3 linked regions of the Coturnix japonica genome follow. The protein of the gene in region 3 binds, or shares a complex with, the protein of the main gene of each other region. Links are inferred from orthologs where the notes say so. Each region holds a gene or a part of one and is shown on either strand. Other genes may lie near its edges. The genes, in order: STK25, STK26 and STRN3.

Region 1 (3,748 bases), on a different chromosome or scaffold from region 3:
CAGCTTCCTGAAGAAGCGTCTATACTTTGAGGTAGCTGTATCATGCTTTCTGAGGAACAAAGCAGCTCAGGCAAGGGTGGTAGAGGAGACAGACCATGACAAGAACAAGGCTGCCTACAGGAACAACAGAACTGGGAACACAGCTGGATTCAGAGCTTTAAAGACTGCAGTGCAAATACATCATCGAGAGGGTAGAGCACCCAACAAAGGCCCACTGTGCTGTATGTACACAGCAAAGGTCAACCAAGAGAAGAGAGTACCTAGCTGGCCTAGGCAGAGGCACTGAGATAAAGCAGCTTAGGGATCTGCCTAAGGTAATCCGGCACATGGGCAATAGATAAGGAACCAGAGACAAGTGAAGGCCCTTACATTCCAATCCAAGTCGTATGTCTCTTTATTTTTACAGCACCTCCTCACCACTGCTTAAAACTTGGCTAACAGAATGTATGGAAACTGTCGAGTCCCAGCCTGAACCATTGATTGAGCACCTGGGCAAAGGACCTGGCCAGCCCTGGATGCACAGGTGAAGGCAATGCAGCAGTGAGACTAGAAGGGGTACAGCCTGGCTGCATCTCTCTTAGACCCCATTTAAGGGCTGACTGCCTCTGGGGAAGGATCTTTTTCTGGAGGTCTCTCCTTGGTGAAGCTTTCCTCTGCAAACTGAGACTCTTCTGATCCAGGTGAGCAATCTTCTTTCTTTCCTTTGTAGCACCTCTCTGTTGTGCCAGCCCTTCCATCATCATCACACATTTGATGTAATGCCTTTCCCATTGCACCGATCTAATTGCTACACAGAACTTCAGGCCAATTCCTGCTGCTCTTCCAAGAAGCCTCAATTAAACAGATTATGAGGTGCCACCGAGGATTCCAGAAGAGACTCAAGGAAGGGATAGATAACACATACTGCTTTCCTATTTTAGCACTGGAGTTATCACAGTATGACAAACTCTGATAAAACACCTGACATCTGCCTAATGTACAGATTAGATAACCAGAACTTTGATAGCTTCTATTATTGAATGCTGCCTAAAAACAAAGCTCTACTCAGAGCAAGACACTGCACCAACAGAGCTCAGCTCCCTGCCTTGAGCAGGCAGTATCCTTCTTCATTCCTTCGTTTCTCTCCCTGCAGCGTGACTCATTCAGGCACTAAATTTGCATTCAATTCCACCAGTACTTTGAGGAAACGGTGTGTGTGAAAGGCAGCATGCAAAGCAAAGATGCACTGCAAATCAATTTTAAACCAGGAAAGGTTTGGAGGAAGCATCACCTCAAACCACTGAAGTACACCTAGAAGCATAAAATACTCTGGTCAGCCTGGTCTGGTGGTTGGTGACTCTGCCTGTGGAAGGGAGGTTGAAACTGGATGATCATTATGGTCCTTTTTAACCCAGGCCATTCTGTGATGCTATGGCTCTGGGGGGACCTGAGAGTGGCCTTTCAGTACCTGAAGCAGGGCTGTAAGAAGGAAGGACACAGACTCTGCCTGCTGTGATAGGATGAGGGAAAGCGGTCCCAAACTAAGAGGAAAGACTCAAGCTGGATATTGATAATGAAGTTTTTTACAGTAGGGGTGGTGAAGCGTTGGCACAGGTTGCCCAGATTGGTGGTGGTGCCCCATGTCTGCAAACACCCAAGGTCAGGATGGACGGGGCTCTGAGCACCTGATGGAGCTGTATGTGTCCCTGCTCGGTGCAGGGTGTTAGAGCAGATGGCCATCAAGTGTCTCCTCTATGACTCTATATAAAGAAAAGCACCCAGATTTCTCCCTAGGGATCAGCACAATGCACTGACACCTGCCAACCATCACACATACCCACAGCCAAGCCCAGAAGAAAGCCGATCCGAGCTGATACCATTCTGTGCTCCAGCTTTTAGCCCTGAGTCATGACATCACCTCGTGCCATCACAACAGCGGGATGTACCTACAGCCCCTGAGGCCTCACACGGCATCACACGGGATGGAGGAGACCTTACGACGGTGACACCGACCGGCAGCACTGAGGCTACAGAGCCCGGTGTCCATTGCGGTTTGCCGTGCAGCAGAGCGGCCCCATATGAAGGCCGTGGGCAGCAGCCAGCAGCAAACAAAGCGGGGATCGATGTGCAGCGGGGAGATGGGAGCTGTGCACGGGGCGGCCCTTACCTGGCTGCCGAAGTCCCTCAGGTGCGCCATGCTGGATCCGTGGGGCCGCGCTCCTCGGCGTTCAGCTGCGGGAGACAACACGGCGGCTCTGCCCGGTCCCGTCTCGCCCCGCCATCCCCGCTCCGCCCCTTGTTGTCCCCCCTTCCCCCAGCCCCCACCTACGGCCCTGGTTCCCCCCGCGCAGCGCCGTGCGCCGCCATGCCGACAACAGCCGCCCCGGGACACCGAGCTCGGCCGCGCCGCCGGGAGGAAGCGGGAGGGGAGGCCGCGCCGCGATGCCTGCTGGGAGATGTAGTTCTAGCCCCGCCCAGAGATACAATGGGGCCGCCCCTACGGACTGCATGTCCCGGCGGGCTGTGCGCGGGGCGGAAGGAGGGGCCGAGGGAAGGGGAGGTGCGGGCTACAGCTCCCACGTGCGGCGGGTGTCGGGGAGCGGCGATAGGGGTCGGTGATGGGGGTCGGTGCTTGTGACGGCTGCCTTTAGGGTAAGCCATAATGAACGGCCCTGCCCGGCTAATGGCCGCCTCCGGGAGCGGTCAGGGCTGCCGGGTGGGTCTATGAACACGGACCCGCTTTGGGTTGTTTTGTCGCTGCCACCAGGTGGCAACCGCGGATCGCAGCGCTGAGCCCCGCGCGGCCCCGTGGGGATGCACGGTAACAGCTCGGCCCCAATGGCAGCTGGAGCATTGAGCACAGCCGTGCGATGAGCTGCCCACAGTAGTGGGAGACAGAGCTCCAAACCGAAGTGCTCGTCCCTTCGGTGCAAGGCATTGGGCTGATGGGCTGCACTCCACCTGGTAGGCATGAAGTCACCGCTGTGTGATGGCAGCCATAAGCTGCTCCGGGCCTTAAACCTTGTCCTTGCATCTCCTACAAGGATCAGCTTTAAAGGGAACCTGTCCCTGCCAAAAAGAACACACTGAGTGCTGCAGAAGCCCATTTGCTCCTATGGTTCCCCTTCCAGAGCCTTTAGGTGTATAGAAGCTGCATCAGGCTGCTAGAGCTCCAGCACTCTTGTTCCTGCCTGCAGACTATAACTACAAGGCTCAGTGTTGCGAGACTCTCTTTCCCTGCTGATATCATGGCTCTTAAGACTCTTTTGAGTGTTCAGCAAAGAAAAGGGCCTTTATCTCCCAATTCTGCTGCTGAAGTGGAATAAGCAGGAGTGGCTCTTGCAGCTGTGAAGCTCCGTGTGGAGCTGACTCCTGGGTTGGCTCAGCATCTTTTCCCTCCCAGTGACTAATCCTCAAATTAAGCCAGGCTCCTTCCAAGCTGAGAGCACAGAGCGCTTGTTCTTCCAAACCATGTTCCTGTGCAGCAGCAGAAAACAGCTGATGAAGCTGAATCTTAAACCCTCGCAGACGTCTGTGCTCTGCTTAGGCAGGAATGGATACAGCTGATGGATCTGCAGGGATACTTTGCCTTCCCAGCTGGTCTCTTCTCACTGCCCTGATAACAGGAGACCCCAGGGTGCCCCTGCTTAAACAGGGTGAATGACAGGAGCCGGTGATGAGGGTGAGCTGCACATCAGCCAGCACCTGGGGATAGAGCTGGCACTCACTGAGCACTCAGAGAGACAGCCTTGTCTGGAGCCACAGCACA
Region 2 (3,748 bases), on a different chromosome or scaffold from region 3:
GCCTTTTACAGCTATGTGTTTTTTGAAGAGCACAGAGGGGTTGTAATACTTTAATAACGGTGAAGGCTGAACAAAGTGGCAAGTCAGAAAATAAAGTAATACCAGCATGAGCCACAAGTCTGTCCTTAGCTAACATCACTGCGAGTTGTTTTCTGGTTCAAACCACAGGGAGTTAAGGTTGGAAAGGCTGCTGAACGTTGAAATTCCTGGCGCTAGCACAGCCTTACCTTAAACAGAGGTGTTTTGTGCTCCTTGCCACAGTACAGCATTTCTCCATGTTGTAATGGAGAGAGACCTCCTTTGATCACACCCTTTCCGAAGGGAACCACCCTCTGGACGGGGTACGGACAACAGCCTGCTATCTCTACTGACCTTCCCATTGCTTGGCTTTCAGGCCCATGGAGCTGTGAATTTGAGCAAAGTCCTCAAGGATATTTGTATCTGAATATGAGTGTGACCACCGCTCATGATTCCTGTGCGCCTGCTCAGAAGGGGAAGACAGGCGTCATAAAAGATATCATTTTTAGCTTCACTTGAGTAACTGGCAAAACTTCAATGCATAGGAACGTGAATCATGCAACACGGAGAGGTGACTCACATACGAATGGGAAAAACGTCGCCCTAAAACAATGTCATTTTCTCCTGACCCACAGTGGAAGGAGAAGGTGAGGAGAGGCAAAATAAAAAGCCAAGAAAAGACCATAAACGTCCGCCGGATTATTCGCACAGGGGACAGCGATGTACGCGCACTGTGACCATGTTTGTGGGCACTGCGCTCGGTAGGACGGGGCCTGCAGGGGACAAGCATTGCCACAAGGCGCCTGGGGGGGACACAGCGCCGTGACAGCGCCGCAGGGCCCACGGCAGGGCGAGCATCCCCTGCCGAACAACACCGCGCTCACAGCCCCATCGCCACCCGGCCGCTCCTCCCCGCCCAGCCCGTAGGCGGGGGCAGTGACGCCGAGCCCCGTGCGGCGGCGGCGGCTCCGCCCCACGAGGCCGGAGCTGAGACGGAAGAAGCCGCCGCCGCACAGCAGCCTCCTCCTCCTCCTCCTGCTGCCGCCCGGGGCCCGACATGGCGCTGTGAGCCCAGCCCCAGCCGTGCACAGAGCCGTCACCCGGAGGGCACCGAGCAGCCGCCGTCCCCGCTTCGGGAGCGGGCAGGGGGGCATGGGCAGGGCCGCCGCGGGGAGCCCGGCGGGCATGGCACAGCGGCCTTAGGGGAGCCCTTCCCGCCCGCGTCGCGCAGCTCGGCCCCGCGGCCCCAGCGAGGTGAGTCGGCGGCGGGCGGGGCCGCGCGGGGAGGGAACGAGGGAAGGAGGGAGCGCGGCCCGCGCTGAAGCCGCTCCCCGCCGCTTTGTCCTTCCAGGCCCCGCCGCCGCCCAGCAGCAGGGAGGCCGAGAGGAGGGAGCAGCGGGCGGCGCCCGGCCGCCGTAGCCCGGCCATGGCCCACTCGCCCGTGGCGGTGCAAGTGCCCGGCATGCAGGTGAGCTCCGAGCCGCTCCGGTCCCAAAATGGAGGCGGCGGGCAACGCTCCGGCTCCGGAAGCGGCGCCGCGCGGAGGCCGCCGTTGGGTCGTGGGGAGTGCGGGCGGGCGGAGCGGGGCGGCCTGCAAGCGGGGAGGCCTCGCTCGGTATCGGGGGAGAGCGGGCCCGAGCCGTCGCGTTGCGGGAGGGGCTGCGCTGAGGTAGCGGCGGGCCCGGGGAGGAGCCGCGGTGCCGCGTACCTGCGGCCCGCACGGGGCTGAGAGCCCTTCTCCGCTTTGTTCGGGATGGGCCGCGACACGGAGCGTGGAAGAGCTTCTGAAATTGGTGAAAGGCCAAACGAAGTGAATCGGGGAGTGCGCTGCAAGTGACATATCGGCCCCGTGGGGCTGCCCACCGCCGGCGCTTGGGCCTGTAGCACTGAGCCCTGCTGCTCTGCCTGTAATGAGGGCCTGGCGCTCAGGGAAGGGTGCGAGTGGAGGTCCGATGTTTGTGCTGCGTGCCGCTGGGAGCCATCATCTGTCAGAAAATGCCACCTCTCCTTGGCTGGGAGCGAGGCCCGGTGTCCTTCGAGCGTTTGTGAAACTTGTTTAAACAAACAAACAAGCGATATGTAAGTGATTTTTCAGAGGGAGGCTGGGATAGCTGTGACTCTTCCTTCTTATTCTGCTGGACAGCCCCTTGTGAGTTTGGGTGCAGATCTTTATCAAACAAAGAGGAGCTGAGCTCATTTCAGCGCTGTTTTCTACCTGTCAGGCTGGCAGCTCTGTCAGCATTTTTGGCCTTTCTCTCAGCTTTTGGGGTTGGCTCACCTGCCCCATAGCTGAGGGACTGGGGGGTTGCTTTTCCTTTCCTCATTTCCAATAACAGAGAAGTCTTTATGATACATCAAAGTGAGATACACAGCTTGGAGTTCAGGTTTCAGATCAGAAGGTTGAAATTTCTCCTGGTTGGTTATCTTCCATGTTTTTTAGAGTGTAGAAGCGATGTATAAAGACCACTCCTATACTATTCTGCCTTGGATGCAATGCTGAGGTTTGGTTTACCTTTTTCACTTCTAGTAACTTAACGACCTTCTGAAATCAGTAAAATTTGATCGTGCAATTGTTGGTATAAGATGACATAAGCCACACTTTCTATCCTCCATCTTCTGTTAATGTTTTCATATTTGGAAGACTTCCTTTTTCAAGGTGCAAACTTATGAGCTCCTTATTGTCATACCTCCTTGATCCATTGCTGACCTATTTTCCATGGCTGCCTTGTCACCACCAAAGGACCTTGGAAATTATTTGAGGTCCTGTTTTCTGTTGTTAAACCAATAACGTTTATGTAATAGTTCCTTTAGTGCTGTTAGTTTAACCCAGATCTCTGAAGGTATAGACATATGTTTAAAACTCTCTCTGCTTTTTTAACTATTAGATATGTGCAGCTGTAAAGAATTAAGAAATAGCTTCTTTTGATGAAGACTATTACACAAGTCCAGACAATCTTGTAATACAAAGGAATTGGATTTGGTGCAAAATTACTCACCTCGCTGTTCCTTAAGAGGGATTGTAATACAGCTTAAGAAAGCAAACAAAAATCTCTCTTGCAAAGGTTGATAGTCTAAACCTTGCTTTTTCCCCCCTCCTTTTAATACCTATTTGAACTGTTCATTCAAGATCATCCAAGTGATTACGAAAGCATCCCTGCATCAGCTCAGTGTTAAAATAACTCATGGCTACTAAAGAAGGAATGAACAGGTTTGCCTGTGAAGGAGGGAGATCTAATAGCTGTATTAAAACTAGCACCGTGCACAAGTGCATGTCATGTCACGCTCCTTGTTTGCAGCCTGTGTTGAGGGAAGTGTTTTCACCAAATATAACAGATTGAAACAGAATCTGCCAGAGAATGTGTTTCAGGTATGAATCCTTCAGTTTTACTGTAATCCTATGATTTCCATCCCAAACAAACAAATCAGGCTCTAAAAAGACATTACCAGTTTATCACCGAAGCATTACACAAGCTCTTCTGGCTGTTTTAAGATCTCTTAAATGTTTTATAGCTGAAAATACTGCAGGTCCCATAGAGTTGTTTTGGTCAACTCGAACTCTGCCTGTGAGTAGTATGACAACAATGGAAGACCCAGAGGTAGTATTATCTGCTGCCCTTATGAATAGTTCCAGAATGATGTGTTTGTGTAGTGGTTGCATTCTGTTGAACCTGTCTCATGTCCTTGACAAAACCAGATGTTATACCACACAATTCATGCCTGTGCAAACAAT
Region 3 (3,648 bases):
TCAAACTCTGAGTTCCTCTAACTCTGATGCCTTCACTGTAATACTGCTTTTTCCCCCCCCCCAACTTACTGTACTCTGCTGACTCATAGGTGCTCTAAAGAATCTGGGCACCCAAATATTGAAACAAGTTTACTTTTGTTGCGAAACAAAGAAATATATCTATATTTTACAGCTACTTTTCATAGAGGGTTTTTCAATAAACCAGGCTGTGAGTAGTACAGAGACAAAAAGGTAGGTGGAAAGGACTAAGTGAAAAATCTCCAAAACTTAATTTTGTGTGAAATTTAAAACAAAGTCTTGCAAACAAAAGCCCTACGGAGGAAAAATAACTTGAGAGAACTCTGGCTTTTAAAAATTACTTTGTTACTTCAGTAGTGACTGCCTGAGGCCCATGTAAATTTTAAGATCACTTTACTAGTCTTTTTAAATTGATGTAAGACAGCATTGCTTCCTCTCTTCACCTCACTGGTACAGATTTTGCAGCCTGAGCGGTGTATCAGATCACTTACTACAGTGGCATAACCAAAAGAGCAAGAATACACAACAGTCCTGCCTCTAAACCAATTCAAACTTCAGTAACATGTGATACTGCTGAACCACACCAGCATAAGGGAGACAAACTAGTTTTTCATACAGTTAACAGCAATTTAAGTCACTGGTTATGGGAAATGAAATGCAAAAACAATTTGCCTACACAGCATTAAAATTCCAGATTTTGGAAAACCAAAGTAAAAAGCCTGTCTCGTAGAAAGGGATACAACCGATATCTTCATTATTTAAACATTACGATTTGCCACTTTCTCTGTTACAGTTCTATAGACAACACGTCACTAATGCAAACGGAAGTTAGCAGCAAACAGTAATTGCATACAAAATTTGAAAGCGCAATTCATTTGATAAGTGGCATTCCCATTGTGCAATAGGCTTCGAAAACATGTTGCCAAGTGGAAAATTTGTGTCCAAGACAACACCTATAGATTGCTTTTCTTTTAAAAGGTGCTTACCGTAGGTGTCATATGGGTCCACGTTAGGGCTAGGCATGTTCCACCACTGGATGGTTGCATCAATACCACCACTGAAACATTGTTCTCCATTAGAACTAATTGCCAATGACAATACAGGTCCACTATTGGGAGACAGAGAATAAGTAGTTTACTGGTACTGACAACAGTACAGTTATAATTTCGCAATCTCTTTTTAAAAAGGCAAAAACAAATACCCTGGATTAAAAAATTCTGTTAAAACCTTAAGTCTTAGCAAGTTATACAAACCTACATTAAAATATATATATAACAATTATCAAAATTTAAGCAATTCAAGAACACAATCTTACTACAGTAGAAACTAAGTCTGCAAAGCAGGAAGGAATGTATACATACATTTATTTATTTTTTTAAACAGACAATCTATGCCTATCTAAAAATGAGCTGTGCTGAAAGAGGTTGTTCTAGCTCCCTACCACTAAAACTGTGAACTTTCTCAGATGGACAGAAACATATGCTTCAGAAAACTGGCTCAGAAAAATAATCGTAGGAGGAGTACTTCTTGGTTAAGGCTAGACTACTGCTGGTTTAACTTCTTGAACCTGTTTGCAGGGACACTAGACAAGCTGTGTCCCAGAAGGAAGCAGCACCTTTGGACATAACACTAAGTCAGGTTTAACTGTCTTGTAAAACAATATCCCAAAATTCGATGGCTGGCTCACAACAGGTCATGCTTAAGATATAGTTTACTGGTCTTAAGTGCAGATTAGCAAACTGAAATTACATATTCTAAGCCGGTGAAAACAGATACTGCTAGTTGAATCCACCTACATGCTTCGACACAGGGATAAATGAATGTCGAGCCTGCATTAATTCCTTTTTTTTTCTTGATGACTGCAACTGTATTTTTCACCTCTCAAAACTGAGGGCTACTATGTCAGACTACTAGAATTCAACCTTATCTATTTTCTTTAGGTATTACATATTAAAAGCCCCAGCCCAAAACATTGCTCAGGCAATTCCAGTATCATCTTCTACATTTCCTTCCTTCTTATTTTATTGTGGAGTCCGCAATTGATGATAGGGATTCAGTATCGATCTGGTTTTAAAGAGTATAATCTTGTCTATATAGTGTTTTATGAATCCAGGAGATCAGAAAATTATCAAGTAATTCTGATAAATACTTACATGTGGGCCCTAAATGTGTAGATGGGTTCTACATCTAAAGAGGCACTCCTGAAAGATGAAGAGGAAACATTATTACACCAAATGAAGTCTCTACTGAAAAACTCTAGAAGCATTTAACAGTTTTAAGAGAATCAACTTCAAAGACTTTTAAAAACAGAACTAATGCTTCATGAAACCCATACACTTACTTTTTGGCAGGAACCGTTTTCTGCAAATTCCAAAGTTTTAGAGTATGGTCCTCAGAGGCTGTAACCAGCACAGGCTCTACAGGATGAAAAGCTAATGCCCGCACTCCATCAAAATGACTGCGTAGCGTATACTTAGGGTTCCATGTCTTTCGGAAGGCATCTTTATTAGCTGGCAGCTTAAAAAAGAGAAGGCATTATATTACATTGAGTTTTAAAACCATGTATAACAAGTATTTGTACATTAAGAAAAGCTTGCTTTTCTTAATTCAGTTGATGCATACTCAAATATGCATTTCACTATTGATCTATATGCATATGCAACTCCCTCTCTGGCATGCAAGAAAGTCTGCAATATATTTTTTTCCTACTGCAGAAGCTTCTTTTGTTCCAGTGTAGAAAAGAACATAATACTGAATATGCAAAGAAGAAGCTTAGATTTTCAATTTTTTTTCTGTTTTAATCCTTTTGTACAACAATACCTTAATTCTTCTACCCAGAAAAAAAAAAAACAAAACCAATACCGATTTCATTGCTTATCATATACTCTGTAACAAAGGAAGAGATTACAACTTTCAAAAGCCCATTATCACTTAAAGACAATTAAAATAAACTCCAGGTCCCCAGATCTCTTCCTTTGATTAACATCTTGACTAAGAATGACAGGAACCATATGCAAATCTTGAATAATTCTACATGATAGGGCATGTACAGAGAAACAGTTAAAATATGAAGGCTGCTCTGAAAGCTACATTTTACGTTATTGGCCCACTACATCATAAGTGGATGCTGGTGTTACGACAGTAGAGATTGAAACTTTCTGACAATATTCCATTATATTTTGTTGCTGTGCAACAAACTGCAGAAGAGGAGCAGCCTAACAAACTGACAGCTGACACAAATGCATTTGAAGCACAGGTGAAACACTGAATTCCTCCATGCAGGAAAAAAAAATGCACTCACCGTTCATCTCTGGTGAAAATGCATAGCTAATGGTGGTGACTATGTTGAAAAATATTATTATATTAAGATATAAAAACCCACAAATTGTAGACACTTAATATTAATGCTAATTATCTCAAAAAAATGTTACCAGAAAACTTCTAGTGAATGCAACAAAGACTAATTTAGATCTCCAAATATAACATATATTAATCAGAGTGTGAAGAACCACCATAAAAGATTACATTCCACTTATCCTAAAACATCCATCCAAGGAAAAAGAAGACATACATATACTTCTCCCTTCCTCTCAAGAAATTATAAAGAGACTTTAGAAAACTGACCTTAGG

What was found.
Region 1: STRN3 (region 3) and STK25 share a complex: the UniProt entries of both Homo sapiens proteins name them as parts of the core of STRIPAK complex. The link is inferred for Coturnix japonica from reciprocal best matches to the Homo sapiens genes STRN3 and STK25.
Region 2: STRN3 (region 3) and STK26 share a complex: the UniProt entries of both Homo sapiens proteins name them as parts of the core of STRIPAK complex. The link is inferred for Coturnix japonica from reciprocal best matches to the Homo sapiens genes STRN3 and STK26.

The regions. Positions count from the first base shown.
Region 1 is NC_029524.1:3,907,646-3,911,393, forward strand, and holds the start of STK25 (serine/threonine-protein kinase 25), read right to left. Parts: upstream 2,435-3,748; 5' UTR 2,305-2,434; intron 2,212-2,304; 5' UTR 2,177-2,211; coding exon 2,147-2,176; intron 1-2,146. UniProt on the Homo sapiens protein: Oxidant stress-activated serine/threonine kinase that may play a role in the response to environmental stress.
Region 2 is NC_029519.1:3,339,661-3,343,408, forward strand, and holds the start of STK26 (serine/threonine-protein kinase 26), read left to right. Parts: upstream 1-992; 5' UTR 993-1,272; intron 1,273-1,326; exon of another isoform or gene 1,327-1,369; 5' UTR 1,370-1,444; coding exon 1,445-1,486; intron 1,487-3,748. UniProt on the Homo sapiens protein: Serine/threonine-protein kinase that acts as a mediator of cell growth. Modulates apoptosis. In association with STK24 negatively regulates Golgi reorientation in polarized cell migration upon RHO activation.
Region 3 is NC_029520.1:30,893,734-30,897,381, reverse strand, and holds part of STRN3 (striatin-3), read right to left. Parts: intron 2,536-3,648; coding exon 2,360-2,535; intron 2,220-2,359; coding exon 2,172-2,219; intron 1,127-2,171; coding exon 1,005-1,126; intron 1-1,004. UniProt on the Homo sapiens protein: Calmodulin-binding scaffolding protein which is the center of the striatin-interacting phosphatase and kinase (STRIPAK) complexes.